Caenorhabditis elegans: one gene and its partner. The protein of the gene in region 1 interacts with the protein of each later gene in a pairwise test. Each region holds a gene or a part of one and is shown on either strand. Other genes may lie near its edges.

Region 1 (11,827 bases):
ATTTGGATGCACCAAGCCGATTTTTCTCGTCTACTAAAATTGAATGTGTCGTATAAATATTTGAATAATCGAACCTACATAATATTACGTTCATCATATTGTAACAAATTCTTCAAATTCATTATTCTCCTCAATAAATTTACTTTAACATTTTTCTGAAGTTTTGGAAGTTCACAAAATAACTATTATAGTAACGCAGAGAAATGAGCTATTTGAAATTGATCTACAAACGTTAATTGGAAACGCTAGGCCCACACTTGATAAGGCAATTTATTGAAAATACATTTCTAGAAAATTTGACAATCGGCACAAAACACGCATCGGGGAAAATTTGAATTTTGTAAATAAATGACATATTAGAAAATACAAAAAACTGGCACATATAAAGCTAGAAAGTGAATTTAGTGAGAAATAATCAAGACCAGAATCAATTTTCCAATTTGACAATATTCTTTGGCAGAATACCCGCTGGCAAAGTCTTGAAAGCTTCCAATTTTCCCTTGTAATAGTAGTCATCAACATCTTCCACAATCAATAAATGATCGCCACGTGTCACATAAAGATGTTTGGGATCTTCGGAATGATAGTCACCAGTGGCAACTGCCTTCTTCGGAGAGAATGCACATGCAATTTCAGCGATTCCTTTTGACGGTGCCTTCTTTGGAGATCCGTATGGTGGTCCCAAGAAGGTCTTCGGAACCATTCCCTGTTGTCCACGACATTCTGCGAGCAACCATTGAGCATCAATGTCTTCCAGGGCTGTGATGACGTCACCTTCGAATAATCGGAGGTCAGAAGCAACTCCAGAATCGTAATCATAAGATACAGTAACGGTTTGTTTGGGACCACTATTGTTTGTAATTGGATGAGAATAAGATGGAGCAGATGATGGAGCTGATTGTTTCATTGGAACTTGATAAAGATTTGGACAATCCACAAATTGAGATGGAAAGATTCCTGATCTACCAAAGCATTCACCTTCTAGCCATTCTTCATTTACACGAGCTGTTACCATAATTTGTGATCCGACAGCGAACTGAAAGAACATTCAGATTTACAAATATTTTTAGATGTCTTTTAAAAACTCACATTCAAATCTCCAGCTTCGTTCGAATTATAGTCATAGATTGCAGTTGCATATGTGCCTGAAGATGATCCAGATGGAGCTGCTGGTCGTGGAGGCAGAGCTGTGAAAGCTTCTTTCAATGGGATCTTGATGTCAAGGTAGGATGATGGAACAATTCCAAATGTGCGCTGGTTTTGATTCTCACCTGAAACAATGGAAGATTATGTATTGAGTAACTAAGTTTCAAACATTTAATGCGATTGTTTCTGCAAAAATCGAGAACATCTCCTCTTACTCCATATAAAAATTAATTTGAAATCAACTAACCATAAAACCACTCCGCATCCACTTTTTTAGAAATTAAAACCGTATCCCCAATTCTCAATCCCATCTCATCAGATTGTGTCGGAGCGTAATCAAACTTGGCAATTCCATAAGGAGTACTGATGGCTGGTGCCGAATAAGACGGGATTGATTGTGTATGACGTGGCACTGGAGGCGGGGCAACTGGTGCAGATGAAGAGTAAGAAGATGTTGAGTTGGATTGATACGATGGAGTTGCAGTAGAAGAATCTGAAATTTTAGAACTTTTTGAAGAAAAAAATAGTCGGTAGGCATGTCTCCAGATATTCCCTTGCCTGTTTACATTTGTACCTTCCGCCTACTTCCGGCAGTTAACTCGATATTAACTCGACATTTATCAGAATATCCAAGCTTTTTGGAAAATTTGGCAATTTACCAAAACGTTAGCTATAAATTTTGAAACATCTAAAACTTCGGAGTGTTTTATTTTGATAATCTTTTGTTTGATCTGTTTTTTTTTAATCTTTCAAAACTCACTGCTTGACATCACCGATCCTCCGATATGCATATTTTCCAATTGTGATCTAATTGCAGAATGTGATCCAGAAAGTTTTCCAGGCGATGTTCCTCCTCGATGTGGTGGTGGTGGTGGAACTGAATCAGACTTTCGATTAGCATCAGCAACTGCAAATGCAGCTGAGATCTTATTTCCACCACTTGGGTCCTTGACAGCATTCAACACTGCTCCACGTGCCTTCTCATCTTGTGCAACATTTTTAGCTGTTTGTCTGACGAATGGATTCTTGGCGGCTGCGATTGCGGCATTCCGAACCTCTGGTCTTTTGGCTGACTCGAATAATGCCTTGGCGGCTGAGACTGAGAAGGTACTGGTATCTGGAAATATGGTTTACTAAATAGATAGGATATGAAAATAAACAAAGCTTGGTTTATTTGAAATGGAGCCTTAACTAATGTTATCACTTGGTTCATAAAAAAAGTTGGCGTAATTGTTTTTCAAATCAAGTTTTATCTGGCCTATAGGCAGGCAGGTAGGCATTTCCTGCTTTCATGGGAGTCAGAATTTTAGCTAGAACTTATGTAGTTATATAATATCTAAATATCGTCTTCAAGAAATCCTTACTCTCAGGACATTTAGATAATACGAAACTGTAAATAAATTTTCAAATCTTACCTTTTGACATGAAAATTGAGCACCAGCCCGAACAAAAGAGCGTGAGAAACCCTAAAACTGCCAGAAAAAGAAATAAAAAGAATGAGAACTGGGGAAATCGATGGATGGAAGAAAAAGGAAAAAGACTAGGAATACGAGAGAGTGTATAAGTTATAGAAACGCAGACAGATAGGCAATGGAAACTCTTGTGTTTGCCGAGAGAATGAGAGAAAGTGACGAATGTATGTTGTGACTAGACACACCTCGGACACATATTTCGACAAATCATTGAAAAAAGACACGTCATTCGAGCATGAGTCATCATAGCTTTCCAGAGCATCCTGTTATTTCTTCTTTTATTGTTTTAAATAGATAAAATATACAGTGTGGGAAAGTTCTATAGGACCCCCCCTAATTTGAAGGTTTGAGGAACTTCCGAAAATTTTTTTGAAAAACTGCTAATGCCATTCGTTTTTAAATTGAAAAAAACCTATATACATTTTTTTCCAGAAGTTTATCTCAAAAACTGAGGTCGCGCTGGAAAAAACGTCAAAATCCAGTGTGAAACTTCTATAGGACCCCCCGTTTTTTTTCACGATTTTTACTAAAATCAACAGATTTTGGAATTTTTGACAAAGCTCAAATCAAGTTTGAGTTAGAAATGAGTTCAGATAAGCAGTTTTGACTTTAAAAAATTAATACGAAATGTTCTCGTGGGATCTCCAGACTGGTTCTGATTCTTCCGATCTTTGATGTTCAAGTCTGTTTCAAGCTTCCTGGTGCTCTCGGTAATGCCAAAACTTGATAAACTCTCTTTAACAAGTTCCTACTAAAATTCCTAGCACACACACCATAAACATTTTTACGCCATCCCCAAGAAACCAGTCAGAAACAGCGTATTAACAAGTTGCAGTTATTTTTGATCAACAACAGAACATTCATATACTAAAATCAAGAAAGGATCAATAGTTAATCGGGTTTCCTTGTGTGCGGATGATCTCAATCAGTCTGTCCTCCATTGATCTGACCAAACTTTTCAGCTGGTTGTCCGGAATAGACTTCCAAGCGTCGAGAATTCCTTGCTTCAACGATGCAACTGTTGGGTAAGTCTTGTTCTGAGCATACACGATACGGACAAGAATCCCCCACAAATTTTCGATTGGATTGAGATCAGGACTTCGAGCTGGCCAATCAAGAAGGTTGATCTTCTTGAGCTTGAAATAGTCGCGGGTTGAGTTGCTCACATGGATTGTCGCATTATCCTGCTGAAATCTAAAGTCTTTTCTGGAGTAGTGACGAAGATATTTGGAGAGCTCCAGTTCCAAGACGTTCTGATAGTCAGTGCTGTTCATCTTGCTACTGACGAACTGTATCTCAAGCTTCTTCTTCTCCGTGAACGCTCCCCAAACCATCACCGTTCCTCCTCCAAAATTACGTCTCGAAAAAACCATTGGTTCCTTGCGCAAATCGCGCCAATAGTAGCGGCAACCGTCAGGCCCATCGAGATTGAATTTCTTTTCATCGGAGAAGACAACCTAAAACAATGATCCTAATTATTCACTCTTGCTTTTTTAAATTCTCACTTTACTCCAATTCGTTCCCATATTGTTCTTAGCAAATTCCAATCGCTTGAGTTTATGGTCTGCAGAGAGTAACGGAGCAGGGCGAAGTTTCTGACGAACGATTACACCAGATCGTTTGATGACATTGAGGATGGTCCTTTTTGAAGCAGACAATTGAAGCTCATTGCGAATATCTCTTGCCGTCTTACAGGAGTTGGAGGCAGCACGAATCACATTTCGTTCGTCACGCACGGAGAGAGCTTTGCGACGAGGAGCTCTTTTAGATGTACCGTAGCTCACCGGATCCTTCAGATACTCGCGAATACAGTGTCGAGAACGGGAAATTTTCCTACTCATTTCATGCAGGGACACATTGAGCAATTTCATAACATCCAGCTGAGCGCGTTCAGTGTCCGAAAGGGCAGATCCTCGAGGCATTGCAAGTTAGACTGCTTTCGAAGTAAGCTTTCCAGCCTCTATATGTGTGCCACAACACATGCCACAATTCCACATTTAATAATTCACGCAAAAAATAGTAAATAACATCTGTGAGGGACAATTTAACTTGAAATATTGGTCCCATGGAACCTTGTAATCAAAGAAAAACGATTTGATTCCTGATAAGCCTTCCATTGTTTCCTGCTGCATATTTTGCCAAATCAGCTTGACTACACAGTCGAAACATCTAAAGTGCGTGCTAGGAATTTTAGTAGGAACTTGTTAAAGAGAGTTTATCAAGTTTTTGCATTACCGAGAGCACCAGGAAGCTTGAAACAGACTTGAACATCAAAGATCGGAAGAATCAGAACCAGTCTGGAGATCCCACGAGAACATTTCGTATTAATTTTTAAAGTCAAAACTGCTTATCTGAACTCATTTCTAACTCAAACTTGATTTGAGCTTTGTCAAAAATTCCAAAATCTGTTGATTTTAGTAAAAATCGTGAAAAAAAACGGGGGGTCCTATAGAAGTTTCACACTGGATTTTGACGTTTTTTCCAGCGCGACCTCAGTTTTTGAGATAAACTTCTGGAAAAAAATGTATATAGGTTTTTTTCAATTTAAAAACGAACGGCATTAGCAGTTTTTCGAAAAAATTTTCGGAAGTTCCTCAAACCTTCAAATTAGGGGGGGTCCTATAGAACTTTCCCACACTGTATATTGCAAGATTTCCTATAATTATCTACATACTGACAAGTGCGAGAACCTTTTCTTGGCTCCAAAACGAAAAATCTATGAACAATATGTGGAAATTTTGTGGTAATTGTGACAGCAAATGTTTTTTAATGAAATTTAAAAAAAATTTCAATATTTTCCAACTTATCAAATTATATTACCCATATGCCAAAAATAGATGCCTGGTCTCGACACGACAAATGCTTGCTGGATTCAAAAGAATATGCGCCTTTAAGGGGTACTGTAATTTCAGACTTTCGTTGCAGAAAATTACAGTACTCCTGAAAGGCACATATTCTTTATCACTATTAAAAAATTAGTCGTCTCAACTTTTCCGATAAAGCTGCCGTAGGAATTTACATTTTCGTGTCTGCCTCTAGCCTTACTGCCTACATACCTGCCTACCGCCTATTTTTGCGAATTTTGCCGTTCGCTCGCAGATCCTGCTTTCAGGTTAATTAAATTTATCTCAAAATTATAATTTCGAAAAGTGGTTTTTTTTTTCATTTAAAAATACATCGAAATTATTTTTAGAATTAATTATTTCTCTAAAAATCTCACAAACATCTGAAAATCAGCATAAAGTTTAAAAAAAAACTTACCAATATTCTCATTTATTCCATTTGAATTTCCAGATGTCCCACATATATTAGGCTTCCGTGGTGGCGTTGGAGGTGGTAGCCTTACCATTATTCTCAATGTTGGAGCAACTATCTATCTGGGTGGAAAAGTGAATCCAAAGGGGGTCTTGAAGGGTTTATTTGCCTCCAACTTTTCTCCATATTTACTCAACTCAATTGTGCTGCTGCCTTCTTCGAAGTTTACAATCAAACATCCTTTAGCACTGTATTTTTTGTAGTCCACAATTGTATAAAAGCTACCAATTTATTACTAGTGAAGTATCTAATGATGATGCAAAAGAAAGATGAAAAACAAGAACCGAGTCAAATATACACAGAACACACGGACGGGGTGGGGGGAATAAGAATTATTGAATAAAATTTCGCAGTATTCGATGTGTGTATGTTTGGATCTTCTCATCCTCTGTCTGATCCGTTTCAAGTGGAAAATTTTGAAAAAAAAACCAAGTGTTTTGATACCCATTTTGTGTGCAATTTTGTTGTGGCTAGAATCATAATGGTTTCGATTTGAAGTGTACAAGAATCTGAAAATTGAAAAATCTATTGCTGAATAAAAACAACTATTTATTTGTTAGCTTTTTAATCGAAACTCAATTTTAAAGCAAAAATTAATATTTCTGGTTTTTTTTCGAAAGCTTTTTTCAAAAGAAAATAAATTCATAACTTTTTCGTTTTCAATTAATTAAAAAGTTTTTTTGAAGTAAATTTAATTTATTTTTCCTAATAAATAAAAACTCACTGTGAAATATAAATTAAAATTTACAGAAGACGAATAGTCTCCTGGACGATTTGATTTTCCATCATTTCATTTTGAACCTCAACAGGATCCGGTTGGCGTCGTCGCTGACGTGAATAAACCACAAAAACGAAGTAAAGAAATACAATAATGAAGATCGAAAAGCCGACTCGATCAAATACATCTGGAAAGTAGTACAGAAATATGCTCACTGCGACCATTTGACCTGTAATAAATATTGCGTTTTGACGTGTTTTTTTTTGAAAATTAGAATCACCTCCAAAAATCCAAAATAATGTTGAAGTTTGCAAATGAGTTTCCTGATCATCATCATCTTGTTCCAACAATCCATTATCAACAAGTAAATTGCATACCCATTGGCTAATCGTCAGAAGTGTGGCTGGCCGAAGTAGATCTCGAATTCGATCAGGACGGAAAAATGCCAATCCAATTCCAGAAAGAATTGGAACCATTGTTGATAAAAGTAAATAGATCTGTCCAACATTTCTGTCCTGCGCAGCTCTTCTTCTTGCTGTTGTAACATTCTCATCAACTACTGGAACACTTTCCGACGGCATTGGAGTTGTGTCACGTGGAGCTCTGACGGATCTTCGAGGTCTTCGTCGAAAACCATTATTGACAATTGGAGGAAGAGTTGCTATTCCTGGTCGTGTATATGGTGTTGTACTAATATGACAATGAACTATACTTCCTGGTTGAAGACCATATTCTTCTAGCGTTCGATGATCTTCTCTGAGAAGTTGGCCTGAAAAATTCAGTTAAAAATTATTTAGGCTTGAAGAAAAGACTTTTAATTTTTTCAAATAGTTTTTTTTAATATTCATTTTTCCATTTGATTTTCAGGATTATGAGCCAGTGGTATTAAATTTTGGGAATTCTATAAAACTTTCAACTGTGGCACGTTTTCACAATTTTTCCAATCTATCAAATTATCAACAAAATAAATTGCGGTCGATAGGTACATTTTTGTGTCTTTCAACGAATACTTTAGATATAGGCCAATAAAATTGTGTTCTATATTTTCAGAAATTTTATGGAATTCGCAAAAAATAATCGTTAGATCTTTGTTTTCACTTATTTTTTATCATTTTTGAAATATTTTTTAAAAAGCTTTTTTGCCAAATGCCAAACATTTGTTTTCATTAATTTTTTTAAACTTTAAAATACATTACTAACTGTTTTTACTTTACATAAAAAATTAAAGATACCTTGATAAATGAGCCGTATGACCTGATTCGCAAGATTTGTGAAATGATCTACTTTGAACTTTGCTACAGTATCCTCCAGTGATGCATACGTGTTTTTCTCGGTATCATTCATAAACTTTAGCTTTATCAAAATCTTCCCTTCTGATGGTCCTTCGATTACTGGAAATTCGGATTCTTTAGTTTCTTGAAGAACTTGCTCCGGTTGAGCTTCTACTTCTTGATCATCCAGTGGCGGATCCTCATTTTGCTCAACTTCGACTTGCTCAATTTCTTCAATAGGACCTCCTCTATCAATTTCAATTTCAGTTTCTTCATCATCATCTTGACCTTCTTCTTCTTCATGATCTTCTATTATTGCATCATCTGAACTATCGTCATCGTCATCCTCTTCATCATCTTCTTCCTGTTGATCTATCACAATATCTTCTGTAAGCTCTGGTGTATCAGCGAACACTTGATTTGTTGGAGGCTGAGTTTGTGTTACATTTGACGTTCTTGTTGAAAGATGATGTTGCATATCCGGGTTTATTGCTGAAAATCCATACATTTTTAATTTTCAGGCGGGGATTTTACTTTTAATTATAAAAAAGGCCGGAATGACCGAATGTAACTGTTAAAAAATTAAGAAACTGATTCTAATTTTTTAAATGAATTAGTTTCATCTCTTCTCTAATTTTCAGGCTTTTCCTACAAAAAATTGAAAATAAATATTAAATTGTCGATTTTATGTCATATTTGAAGTTTTAGCTAAAATTGTTCGGGTAAAGTTTCGAAAAAAAGCAATATGAAAAACTTACATGGAGTCGTATACGTAACGTCTGTAGTAACGTAATCATGTCGTGAAGAATTTTCCTGAACCAAAATAAATTATTTTAAAATCAATTTTTTTTCTTCATTTACGCTGGGTCTCGACTCATCAACTCGAGTATTTCCAGATCGTTCTGTTGGTGGACGAAGTTGAGGCCTGTACGTTCGAGACATCAAAGATGCGTCGTCTCTGGAAAAATACAGAATTTTTGAATGTTTTAAACCTTAAATTAAACTTTTTAAAAACTAACCCTCTAGCTAAAATTGCTATCGCCGCTGCAGCAGCATACTGACTATCCCTTGTGGCGTCAGGCACGTGACCAGCACTCGGTGGCGGCATTTCAATGTCCCATAATGTTATTAGGTCAACGTCTGGTGATCTGGAATTGGAAATATTAAACATTTGAATACATTTTTAAAAGTAAACCTTGCAGGAGCTGGTGAATCAATAACCGTATTCGGCGACTGTATCACAATATTTGTATCAGAAATTGCCACTCTTTGCTCTCCTTGAATTCGTGGAGCTCTTGCCCTCATTCGTTGAACTAATCGTTCCCATGTGACGGGCGGTGTGAACTCTTGACCGAGATGAAGAACCTGTATTTTGAAGTTTAGAAATTTATTCGAAATTTTCCAATAGTGTTTTTCGTTTTTTTTTTCTTTTAATATTTAAATAAAATTACCTGCACCATCCTCCTAGTTGTCCAAGTGTGCATTTCTACAACAAATAAGTTATAATATAAAGGCCTTCGAGCAGAGATTTGATATGATAAAAGTGCACATGCTATGATGATTAATATTGCGACGACTGTGCTTAGCTGAAAATAGTTTTTTTTAGATTTGAAGTTAAACAATTTCAATTTGACACTTTTTCATAACAATGAAAAAATGGGAAAAGGGTTCAAAAAATCAATAAATGTTCAACTTACCTCTAAATATTCGAGTGCAGATTTAACAATTAATGCATTCATTTTTGTCTAGTTGTGTTGTCTGGAATAATGAAGAATAAAGTGAAGAATAATATGAAATCAGATGATGCTTGAGAGACTGAGAGAAATAAAGAGAAGCGTGTTGGTTAAAATGTTCCTTGGCGCAGAGAATCGATACGTGAAAGCGCACTAATCGACGGGCAATTGCACGCTTTTTTAGGAAAACAACCTTTTTGTTAAATTTTATAAAAAGAATTTAAAATTTGTTTTTTCAGAAATTATTTTTGTGAAAAAAAACTATTTAGCCTGTAAGAAAGTAGTATTTATAAAGAGGCGAAATGAGAGAGTAGATTAGAAAAAGAATTCGAAAGAAGATAAGAATCGAAAAAGGTGTTGAGTGAAGTGAAAAAAGAAAGGAAAAATGAATTAATTGTATTTGTTGTGATATTTGTGATTTTGCTATTAATTTATGTACCTCAAAATGAATTTGGCAAACTTTTAAACGAAAAGTATTCGAATTAGAGAAAAACTTTTGAGAAAAAGTGGGAAAAAACTAGAAAAATAACAATGGAACAGATCTTTTCGTTAAAAAAAATTTAATTTCCATTTCTCCCTTCCAGCTGGTTATTGCAAACGCTGCGAGACCCAACGTCAGACATACGCTTATGTGCCTTTAATACCGTAGTACACCCGATAAGCGCGAGAGTTTATTTTATTTATCAAAACTTTTTTTTCAACATTTTTCATCAGAATATCTTGATTTTATTTGATATTTCCTCGATTTTTTGTATAAATATACTAAAATAACAAAAGACTAACAAAATTTGCATTCCTCTACGCTTAAAATTTACTTAACCAACGAAATAATTTGAGATAAACGAGAAAATGTGTAAAATATTTAGGAGTTTAATATTATATTTATTTTGAACCACCGAGAAATGTTTGATACATTTTTGAGAAGTCTTAATACGAAATTCGTTTATTTTGGCACATATTGAGCCTATACAAGCGCTAAACCCAGAACCGTTCGTCCTCCTTCAAATAACTTTCTCTCAGCTCAAATTAAACTGCCCGTAATTTTTCCCATCCTGCCTTTTTCCAAACCCATACCACGTTTTCCTGTTCAATTTGCACCTCGTGTCTGTAAAATTAGTTATCTACCCGTAGCCTACATAGAGAATTTATCAAGGTACAAAGTCCAGACGGACGGACGGGCGGCGCATGGGAGGCCACAACAGCCAGGTTTTCTTGTTGTGTTCGTCTCGTCTCCTCCTCTCATCACTTATTATCTTGTGTGTTGGTGACCTACACTATATCTATCGATTGTGTATTTGTTTTCTAGTTTGATTATTTCTTTTTGGATTTTAACATTTTGAACTTTCTTTCTTCAGCTTTTAAGAATTTTTTTTTGTGAACTTTGTAGTATATATTTTTTTCTTTTCTGATCGGCCACGTTTCTTTTTTTTAAATGTTTCTCTAAATTCTTGGTTTTTCAATGTAGAAATTATTTAAATTCATTTCATTTTTTGATCCGTTGCTTTTGTTCTGCTGTCGTTTCAAATAGAGTAAGTCTGGTTTAATATTCTCAAAAATCAAGAAAGGGTGTAAAATTATTCTGCTGTGTTCTTTCAAAGGAGAGGGAAAATACTTTGTCCCCTTCTGTCCGTAGGCAATGATGAAATGATAAGAGTACACGTAGCGAACCAAATTTGATTCCATATTTGTTTTTTGTTCTCTTTCGTACGTTAAATTATTTTCTTGAACGCATTTTTTGTTCTTTGGAGATTTATTCTCAAAAATAAACCACCTCCAAAATTAAATCTGATTTCTTTTCAGAAGATGCTCCGCGCAGTTAGCACTTCGTTCGGGACTGCTCGTGCCGCTTCGGCAGTCGCCAAGAAAAATATGCCAAATATTGTACTTGTCGATGCAGTTCGTACTCCATTTGTCGTTTCTGGAACTGTTTTCAAGGATTTAATGGCTGTTGACTTACAGAAAGAAGCTATCAAGGGTTTGTATAGAAATTTGTAAATAAGGAAAATTAATTTTTCATTTTTCAGCACTAGTGGAGAAGACAAAGCTGCCATATGAACAACTCGATCACATTATTTGTGGAACAGTTATTCAAGAATGCAAGACCAGTAACATTGCTAGAGAAGCTGCTCTTCTCGCTGGTGTTCCAGATAAGATCCCAGCTCACACTGTCAC
Region 2 (10,316 bases), on another chromosome or scaffold:
AAAACATGGACAAATGTTCAAAAATTAAAGCTTTATATTTTCCAAATTTTGCTTCTTTTTTTTCGCTAAGCATTTTTTGTTTTTGCGTGAAGGCAAGGAGATATTTGAAATAAATCAAATTTTGCCAATTAGACGACTACGGCGTCCCTCTGGATACAAGCCTCAGAACTTCCATGGAGTTTTCGTTTCCAGCGATTGCTTTTGACGTTTTTTTAGGATTCAAAATTTATTCTTATTCAAGAATAGCATCATTTGAAATTGAGTATATAAATCCAATTCAAACCAGTTTTGTTGAATTTCAAACTCTAAGTTGAGTCTTAAATGTATAAACATGAACTGCTCCTGGTATCCTTAACCAGAATGGATAGCGCGTTTAAAGGTGGAGTAGCGCCAGTGGGGATTTTGTCTAAATACACTTATACTGATCCAAAACAACCGAATATCATAATAAAACACTCCAAAAAATTTTAGATTTTTCAAAATATCCGGTCAAAGTTTAGGAAAATTGCCAAAATTTTGTAATTGTCACATTTTGACAGTAAATAAAAAATTTTCAAAATATTTTTGAAAAGTTTTATTGTGATATTCGGTTAGTTTGGCACCATAGAAGTAGTTTTTAACACTTTCCCCCGTGGCGCTACTCCACTTTTAAGTATAGATGACAGTTTGTTTTACAAGGATGTGAGAATACAAAAATTATTGTTAAGCACATTTCATGGCTCTATGAATGTGAATGTGGTTTTTATAACGCTTAATTTATAAAAATGTTGTCTTGCAGAGGTCTCTTCAAAATTTTTGATACTAACACACTTGTGAGCAGTGTTCTAGAACTCAATGGCACAGTTTTCAATAGATATTTGAAAATTTCCTATTGCATATTGTGTAAATTTAGCTTTGAAAATAATTGTATGTCGAAAAATATTTGTTTTTTCCAGTTTTTTTTCAGTCCAGCTATCCGTCCGTCACTATGCAATTTCAAATACTTTGTTAACAAAATATATATCTAGACACTGGTTAGATTTGGAACGAAAACAAAAACTTTCTTCTCTTCCTTTTCCTTTTGTCGTTTATTCTGTGAGTTTGGCTTAGCAAGCCTCCCGGACCACGACGTCGTCATCGGCGCCGTCAGTGCTCCGCGTTTTTTTTTGTGGAGCCAAGAGAAAGAGGGCAGAAAGAGCTTCAAACTGCGGTCGGGAGCTCTAACACACACGTCTTGCTTTTCTTCTTCTGCTTTTGCTCTCCCTGTGTGCGAGAATATGTACATACGCGAAAAATGTGCGCGCGGGGGGGGGGGGCCCCTGCCGAGTAGCAGTGCGCAGCACACATACATAGCAGAATATCGACTAATCGAAAACGCCTCCTTCCTTTTTCTTTTTTCCTTCTTTCTGCTTCGTTTTTCTTTCTTTTTCTTATTCTTATTCTTCGTTTTCCGTTTTTGTTTTCTTTTTCTTCCTTGATATTCTCCTCAGCCTGCTTTGCTCGCTATGGAGTGAAGGGACAACAAAAAACTCAGCTGTTATTTATTCCATGTTCTGTTTTGCTTTACAATTAAAAAAATCAATTGAGCTATTTTGCTAGATTTTCAATACTTTTAAACCATGTTTTATAAATGTTTTATAAATTTCAGAGCATATGAAATCATTGTACATCAACTGATTAGTCACAAATTCATTATCAGGAGTAGTATGGGAATGTTAAATTCGTTATTTGTTTACACACCGCTGGTTCTTAGTAAAATTTTCTAATAGGAAGTAACTGGAATTTGTTTGGAAACCTACAAATCTGTTAATTTCGGAATTAATATCCAAGTTTCCAAATTAGCAGAAATAAAATTTTGAAGTAATATCTGGTTGAAATGTTGTGTTTCTGCTATAAAACTTGAAAAGAAACCTTGAATCCTGCTAGAGAATCGCCTTTGGTCAGAAAATCGAACATCAGTTTTTACTGCAAGTGACAATTTTCAGGGAGTATTTGAAGCCGTTATTTTTAATCCCAACTTTTTAAATGAAAATGAGTATATTTTTCATATTTATGATATGCATATATATATGTTCAATCTATCTGTGTTAGAGCTTGATGATTATTTCGAATCGGGCGGGTTTAAAGATCTGCCAAAAAAATTTGCAGTACTACCCTGTCTTGAAAAAAAAAGAAGAAAAACTGTGATACAATTTAACAATCATGAACATACGACAATTCTCTACAAATTATAATATCATAATGAATTCCATATTTTGTTTAAACAAATTGGACTAAATGAATTTCCTCGTCTCTAATAAACAAATAGAACGTGGAAAAACCTTCTTACTAATCATGATTTCTGGTCACAATTGTGACTCGATATTTGCTAAGATGACGATTTTTCTTTTCTTCCTACGGTACTGATCGGACTGTTGTAAAAGTTTCACAATTTTGAAATATTTTATTTTATTTTTATTTTGCATAATTTCCAAAGGTCATCCATCTCATTTCCATTCTCAATAAAAAAAATTTTTAAAGTCTGCCTCTTTTTATTAAAGAAACGATGTTATTTGCTCACTAACTTCCATTCACACGTTTCCAGCGAGATAGCAGGTAAGTTGAGAGACGCAGGTGGTTAGACTACAAACAGAAGGGTGGCCGGCTGCCACCCTCTCCACACCACTATTTCACAACATTTACAATGAATTGATCTACCCGCCAAATTCTGGTTTTCGGCAATCCAAAACTGTTCGCTTTGTTTTCCACTTTTTCATTTTTCATTTCTCCTCCACTACTTATTTGGATTTTCTTTTTCAAATGTGTCCCGTTTAGTTTTTTTTTGCATCTAACAACCTTCTGTTTTTTTCCAATATTTTCATTAAACAAGCCTCCAAATTCTTCATAAAATTCCTCGTGAAAAGAAATTTCTTGTCGTGGTTACTGCTGACGCGTTTTGCGATGAGTGTGTGTTGGCACGCTCTCCGCCGTCGCTGGCCAAGCCTTTTTCTCTCCCCGCCGCAGTACTGACTGCGAGGCTGACTCACTGCGGTCATTTCGTTTGCCTCACCCTCACTTTTAGTCTCTGCATCTCCGAGTCTCTCCGCGCTTTTTTGTACGCCGATCGTTTCTTCTTCTTGTTTTCCAAACATTCAACACCGTTTTGCCGACAATGATTCTGAATATTTGTTGATTTTGTTTTTTCAAATGCGATTTGAGGATTTTTTTTTCTAATTTTATATTCTATATTCTTGAAGGTGATAAATTTCATTCTAAAACATAATTATTAAACCTCCGAAAACCTCATTGCGAAATCGTGCTTTTTCCATTAAATCTTCTCAATGCTCTTCCTCATATCATTAATCGACTAAAAAAATCGATTTTCAGGTAGTTCAGCGTATAACCACCAGGATCAGCCATGTCGTGGCAAAACCAGGGAATGCAGGCGTTGATCCCTGTGATCAATCGTGTCCAGGACGCCTTCTCCCAGCTGGGCACATCTGTCAGCTTCGAACTTCCACAGATCGCCGTCGTCGGAGGACAGTCCGCTGGAAAGTCGTCGGTGCTGGAGAATTTTGTCGGAAAGTGAGTCACAAGAAGAAAAAAAACATAACTTTGCGAAATAAAATCACAATTTTTTTCCTTTCCAGAGACTTCTTGCCACGTGGATCAGGAATCGTAACACGTCGTCCACTTATTTTGCAGCTTATTCAAGATCGCAATGAGTACGCCGAGTTCCTACACAAGAAGGGTCATCGCTTTGTGGATTTTGATGCAGTTCGGAAAGAGATTGAGGATGAGACTGATCGTGTCACTGGACAGAATAAGGGAATCAGTCCACATCCAATCAACTTGCGTGTCTTTTCTCCAAATGGTAAGCATTTAGAAACTCACAGAAACGCAAGTGCGCTGGATGATTTGAGCATCTGAAACCAGACTTATGCAACTTTTTTTAAAATTTAAATTGCATTAAAGATTTCATAAATTTACAGTGAGTTGCACAAAATCACTGGAAAAATTCACACATTTTAATTAATTCATACTTAATTTTTCAGTTCTAAATCTGACACTCATCGATTTGCCCGGTCTCACAAAAGTGCCCGTCGGAGATCAACCAGCAGATATTGAGCAACAGATCCGTGACATGATTCTCACATTCATCAACCGTGAGACTTGCCTCATTCTTGCCGTCACTCCGGCCAACAGCGATCTCGCCACTTCGGATGCGTTGAAACTTGCGAAGGAAGTCGATCCACAGGGTCTTCGCACGATTGGAGTCCTCACCAAACTTGACTTGATGGACGAGGGAACCGATGCTCGCGAGATCCTCGAGAACAAGCTGTTCACACTTCGTCGTGGCTACGTCGGAGTTGTCAATCGTGGGCAGAAGGATATTGTCGGTCGCAAGGATATTAGAGCTGCTTTGGACGCCGAGAGAAAGTTCTTCATCTCACACCCATCCTACCGACATATGGCTGATCGGTTGGGAACAAGCTACCTTCAACACACTCTTAATCAACAGCTCACCAATCATATCCGTGATACACTGCCAACACTTCGTGATAGTCTTCAAAAGAAGATGTTTGCTATGGAAAAGGATGTGGCCGAGTACAAGAACTACCAGCCAAATGATCCAGGCCGCAAGACCAAGGCTCTTTTGCAGTAAGTGATTTCAATGGAGGTGCTTTATTAACAAAATTTTTGCAGAATGGTTACCCAGTTCAATGCTGACATTGAGCGCTCCATTGAAGGTTCCTCTGCAAAGCTGGTTTCAACCAATGAGCTCAGTGGAGGAGCCCGTATCAATCGGCTTTTCCATGAGCGTTTCCCATTTGAGATTGTTAAAATGGAAATTGACGAGAAAGAAATGCGCAAAGAAATCCAGTATGCCATCAGAAACATTCACGGTATCCGCGTCGGTCTCTTCACTCCGGATATGGCGTTTGAGGCAATTGCCAAAAAGCAAATCACCCGTCTGAAGGAGCCATCGTTGAAATGCGTTGATCTGGTGGTCAACGAGTTGGCTAATGTGATCAGACAGTGCGCTGACACTATGGCTAGATATCCACGTCTTCGTGACGAGCTGGAAAGAATCGTCGTCTCGCATATGCGTGAACGTGAGCAAATTGCCAAGCAGCAAATTGGGCTCATTGTTGACTACGAACTCGCTTATATGAACACAAACCATGAGGATTTCATTGGATTCAGCAAGTAGGAGTTTAGACTTTGCTTTTAGATGTTTAATTTTATTTTTTTAGTGCTGAAGCAAAAGCCTCCCAAGGACAATCAGCGAAGAAGAATCTTGGAAACCAGGTGATCAGAAAGGGCTGGCTCTCACTGAGCAACGTATCGTTTGTGCGTGGCTCCAAGGACAATTGGTTTGTGCTCATGTCGGACAGTTTGAGTTGGTACAAAGATGATGAGGAGAAGGAGAAGAAGTACATGCTCCCATTGGATGGTGTCAAGCTGAAGGATATTGAGGGTGGATTTATGTCTCGTAACCACAAGTTTGCTCTGTTCTACCCCGACGGAAAGTGAGTTACTCAAGAATTTTGCGATTTGATTGCCATTTCAACATTCCAAGAGCCCGCACGCTTTTCTTTCCACATTAGAGTTTCATTAGGCAGAAACACAGGAACACTAAATTGAGCATGAGTTTTGAAACGAGACAAAAAACGCACACACACACAAAATCAATTTTTTTTGAATATTTGTTTAAATTAAATTAATTTGCAGGAGGTGAGTGTATAGTTTACTTTCTTCACTTCTTCTTCTTCTTTAATGACTTGTAAGACAGAAAAACCTTTGTGTTGTCGTCCTTGTGATCTGTTTTCATTTTTTTTACCCGAAAAGTTTATCCACCTTGAAACCAACACCTTTCACTTCTGTAGTCAATTTCTTATTTTTCCTGTTTCTCTTTCTCTGCTGTGACAGTTTCAGTTCAGACAAAAAAAAATACAGCATGCAAAATGCTTTTTAGATAAAAGATTCTGAACCAGCATGAAGATGTAAACTCATGTATCCTTGACCTCACGCACTTGCTTCTCCCATAACCCTTTGAATTCCAGGAACATCTACAAGGATTACAAGCAGCTTGAGTTGGGATGCACCAATTTGGACGAAATTGATGCGTGGAAGGCTTCATTCTTGCGTGCTGGTGTCTATCCAGAAAAGCAGAAGGCACAGGAAGATGAGTCCCAACAAGAGATGGAGGATACCTCGATTGATCCACAACTTGAGAGACAGGTGGAGACAATCCGTAATTTGGTTGATTCCTACATGAGAATCATTACCAAGACAATTAAGGACCTGGTTCCAAAGGCGGTGATGCATTTGATTGTTAACCAGGTGAGGGATTTTAAAAGAATTGAATGATTCATCGTGATATCATCACGGCCTGTTTTTTTAACCGTACACAATAAACCTTAAACTAAATATCTCAATAATTTCAGACAGGTGAGTTCATGAAAGATGAACTTTTGGCCCATCTCTACCAATGCGGCGACACTGATGCTCTCATGGAGGAATCTCAAATAGAAGCCCAGAAGCGCGAGGAGATGCTCCGAATGTACCATGCTTGCAAGGAGGCGCTCCGCATTATCTCTGAAGTCAACATGAGCACCCTTGGCGACCAGCCGCCGCCATTGCCGATGTCTGACTACCGCCCACACCCATCTGGACCTTCACCGGTGCCGCGTCCGGCTCCTGCTCCACCAGGCGGACGTCAGGCCCCAATGCCACCACGCGGAGGACCCGGTGCCCCACCACCACCAGGCATGAGACCACCACCAGGTGCGCCAGGAGGCGGCGGTGGCATGTACCCACCGTTGATTCCAACGTAAGTTTATGCCTATTTTTTTTCGAAAAGAGCACCAGATCTCTTCTAATCTTTCCTATTTTGGTCCGTCATACTCTTTCTTCTGTCAAAATTTTTTTTCTGAAATTTAGAAAAAAAAATACTGTCAACAAGTCAGAATAAAACCTAAAACTAACGTGTACCAACCACTCTAGGCGTCCGGGACCAGGCGGCCCACCACCCAACATGGCACCGCCTAGATAATAATGTTGTGAATAATTCCCCCACTGACCAAAGGTTTGTTAATCGCGAAGAAGCAGTACAGAGAAGTGTATAATTGTTTGTTGTAATCGTGATGTGTATTAGCAGCATCTATCTAGTGTTGTGATCCCTTGGCACTTTATCGGAACATTTTTATATTCCACTATCTTCCTGTGATTTTTTCTACAGAAAGAAGCAAAAGCTAACTTTTCTTTCTCATCAAATTTTTCATAATTTCGTCATTATTTGCATGTTTCAATGGTGGTCTAGCTTTCTGTTGTTGTAGTATTAATCTGAAACGTTGTTTTTTTTTTCAGAAGAGTACCGACACCATCCAACGGAGCACCAGAGATTCCAGCTCGCCCGCAAGTCCCCAAGAGACCTTTCTAAATGCTTTTACATCTCCATCCTAGCTCACTTGTCATACTATTACCGTTCCCATAGTAATTGTACAATGCCCCCGTTTTATCAAGCATTTCTTTTTTTTTTTTGAGAATTTTTAAATTAATCAATATCCCGAGTTCTTCCACCTTTTGAGCAAGTCTCGTTGAGGATTGCATTGGTCCCAGCGCTAACTAGGCGTCAATTCATCCACCTCTCCATTCTCTCTCCCGTTCCAACTGTGTTTTTCTTTGTCAGCGGCGAATTTTCCACAACCAATCGAGTCCTATTTCTCTTTTTTTCCCCCACCTCCCAATAATTTTATTTGCATGTTTTATAAACTCACTTTGTTCAATAATTTATTGATTTTATTTTTTCTATGATTTGAAACTTTACATTTTTCCTACTCTTCTATAGCAATACTTTGTCACTTACAATAACCCCCCCCCCCCAGTCTGCCTATATTTATTTAGATGTTCTTTATGGCCACCCAATGTATAAACTCTTTTAGTGCATTTGTAGGTTCTTTCTTCATCCCACCCAATTCCCCCTCCACCACAAATCCCAGTTTTGATTATTTTAAGCCCATATTTATAAGAAGTAAATATATTTATAGATTTTTCTTAGATTATAAGCTCTTCTAGGTTTTCCCTCGTTGAGAAGAATGATCTGAAAAAGCCTAAATTATAGATTTTTGAAACGTATTGTGTAGAATTTGTATTTATTCGTGAAAGTGGAATAAAGTTAAAACGGAAAAATGTAGTATTAGTTTTGTGCAAAACATTGGCCCTATAAATGTAGATGTAGGAAAGTCTGTTTATTCTTGGAAAAATCCCTAATTTTTGTGAAATTGTTTGGTTTGCAGCGGTCGGAAGCAATCTTGAAAATAATTATCATTTGTAATCACATTTTGGTAATTTATTACGTTTATTTTCTTCATTGATTGGTAGGTATATGTTTTCTTTCGAAAGATGAACAAATGATAGTGAATTGGTGCACCTATAAACGGAAAATATACCTTAAACAATTAATGGTTAAAAAATCCACAATGAAGAAAAGATATTAGAAAATTCCGGTTGCTAAGACATTGAAAAAAACTTGAAAAAAGACTTTGAAAACTTGACAAAATTTGGCACTTTTGAAAAGAACCCATTTAAAACTTAAAGCATGTACTAAAACGAGAACTTTATTTGAAAATTATTATATGTGTATTGCTGCGCTTGTACATTTAAAAAAAGGAACCTTTTCAATTGATACTTAAAACAAATAGAAGTTTTTTAATCCATATCCTCAAGCTTCGCAGATAAACCCTCAATATGCCAAACTCTAATAAGTAGCAATGTAACATGTTTTTGGCGCTGGTGAGTAGGTACTAAAAATTTAATAAATGTTTCCGATTTAAAATTTTAGATCTCGTCAGAATCGTTGTCAACGCAGAACTACAATTCTGGCATACTTTTGTTATAACGATATCAAATACCAAAGAACTCGTCGAAATTGCATACTTGTTGATGGAACCATCCGTTCAACTGAACGCCAGCCAGTTTATTACTTAAATGAAAACTAATTTTTCAATTGATGACGGTTAGTGACTTTAGGTTTCATTTGATCAGCGTAGTTGCTGACACTTAATGGTTCGGGAACATAAAAGAACATGTCGAACACGTACATGACGACTGCTTAAAAGTTGAAAATTTCCCATATCCGTTTCTCATTTTATGTAGTCTCTTTCAGTGTGGCTACTAACGATTTTGCAATTTTACATTATACTTTGTTTGTGAGTTTCAGGAAACTTGTGAATTCGTTCAAACCCTTCAGAATCAGAATAAAAAATGGTGCTTTGTATTTCTTAAATTTTAATAACTTTTTCACGAGCACTACATTTTAAAATTTTGTAGAAGTTGTCTGTTTGCACCCATTTAATTTCAAATGTGTCATAAGTCAACAACTGGCACGTTGAGTATACATAGAAAAGAATGATTTTACCTTTTAATATTTTTTTTGTTATAAAAGCTTGCAACATTTTTATTACCTCTATGGATAAAAAACGAAGGCTAGGAGAAAGAATCTAAAAACTCGGATTAGTTTTTGGATACAAAACAGAAGATTAGAATATTTCCCTTCACGAATTTTGAGGGTAAAACAATTTTACCGAAGTTTTCAAAGGTTTTTGTTCAAGATTCCATTCATTTTTTTTGAAATACTTCATACACGTGGTGTCAGGTTGTTACGGTTTGACTTACAAATTTTGCCCAAAAAATGAGACGTCAGCACGTTTTTAGCCATTTAAATCAGTTAAGAACTCTGTGTCTCAACTCCCGCATTTTTTGTAGATATTTGTAGATCAAACCGAAATGAGACACTCTGACACCACGAGTTCATATTGTGAAACTCTCTTGAATACTTATCACTGTGCCAACCCATGTCACACTTTTAAATACATTGAACAGTATAAAAAACTCAGGTCAAAAGTAACATTTGATTGATCCCCCCCATTTCCTTCTGAACTTTGCTTCTCCTGTTTTTGCGTCGTTTCGCCATCATCATTAAAGTGACTCTTGGACTTGAGACTCTAGTTGCTTATCGATTGGTGATTGAAAAAGTAGGAGAAACGAATCTTTTCATCTACTCCTCTTCTGCACCCGCCTTCTCTTCCTCTTCTTCATCCAGCAGTGCCATTTCTCTTCGGCAGCAAGAATGGTGTGTAAAGTGATGACGGCGCAGTTTCTTCTGGCACAGGAGTAGCACAGCACAACCTCAGCAGTAGTTGGAGCAACCCAGCAGCAGCATATTTTCGATACTCATCGAGCACTTGCCGTTGTGTTGTGTCATCCGCCAACAAATCAGCAAACAACGTTTTTTATCCCGATCATTATTTTTTTTCCTCGCTCTGGGTTGGACTTGTCTATGTTTCAATTTT

What was found.
Region 2: the proteins of B0303.7 (region 1) and dyn-1 interact in a two-hybrid assay, tested with the Caenorhabditis elegans proteins (2 studies listed by BioGRID).

Annotation. Positions count from the first base shown.
Region 1 is NC_003281.10:8,687,795-8,699,621, reverse strand, and holds B0303.7 (SH3 domain-containing protein), read right to left. Parts: upstream 6,001-11,827; 5' UTR 5,968-6,000; coding exon 5,880-5,967; intron 2,678-5,879; exon of another isoform or gene 2,572-2,677; coding exon of another isoform or gene 2,562-2,571; intron 2,264-2,561; coding exon 1,907-2,263; intron 1,640-1,906; coding exon 1,394-1,639; intron 1,272-1,393; coding exon 1,090-1,271; intron 1,037-1,089; coding exon 428-1,036; 3' UTR 101-427; downstream 1-100. Other genes in the region: sdz-1 (Skn-1 dependent zygotic transcript 1 protein), read left to right, coding at 1-56; B0303.4 (transmembrane and ubiquitin-like domain-containing family 1 protein), read right to left, coding at 6,678-6,880, 6,932-7,420, 7,884-8,414, 8,681-8,735, 8,784-8,880, 8,942-9,070, 9,118-9,287, 9,374-9,508 and 1 more; hadb-1 (putative 3-ketoacyl-CoA thiolase), read left to right, coding at 11,459-11,630, 11,680-11,827.
Region 2 is NC_003284.9:15,565,545-15,575,860, forward strand, and holds dyn-1 (Dynamin), read left to right. Parts: upstream 1-3,376; coding exon 3,377-3,543; intron 3,544-3,608; coding exon 3,609-3,832; intron 3,833-4,013; coding exon 4,014-4,620; intron 4,621-4,665; coding exon 4,666-5,169; intron 5,170-5,216; coding exon 5,217-5,492; intron 5,493-6,026; coding exon 6,027-6,306; intron 6,307-6,410; coding exon 6,411-6,796; intron 6,797-6,969; coding exon of another isoform or gene 6,970-7,018; exon of another isoform or gene 7,019-7,051; intron 7,052-7,332; coding exon 7,333-7,405; downstream 7,406-10,316.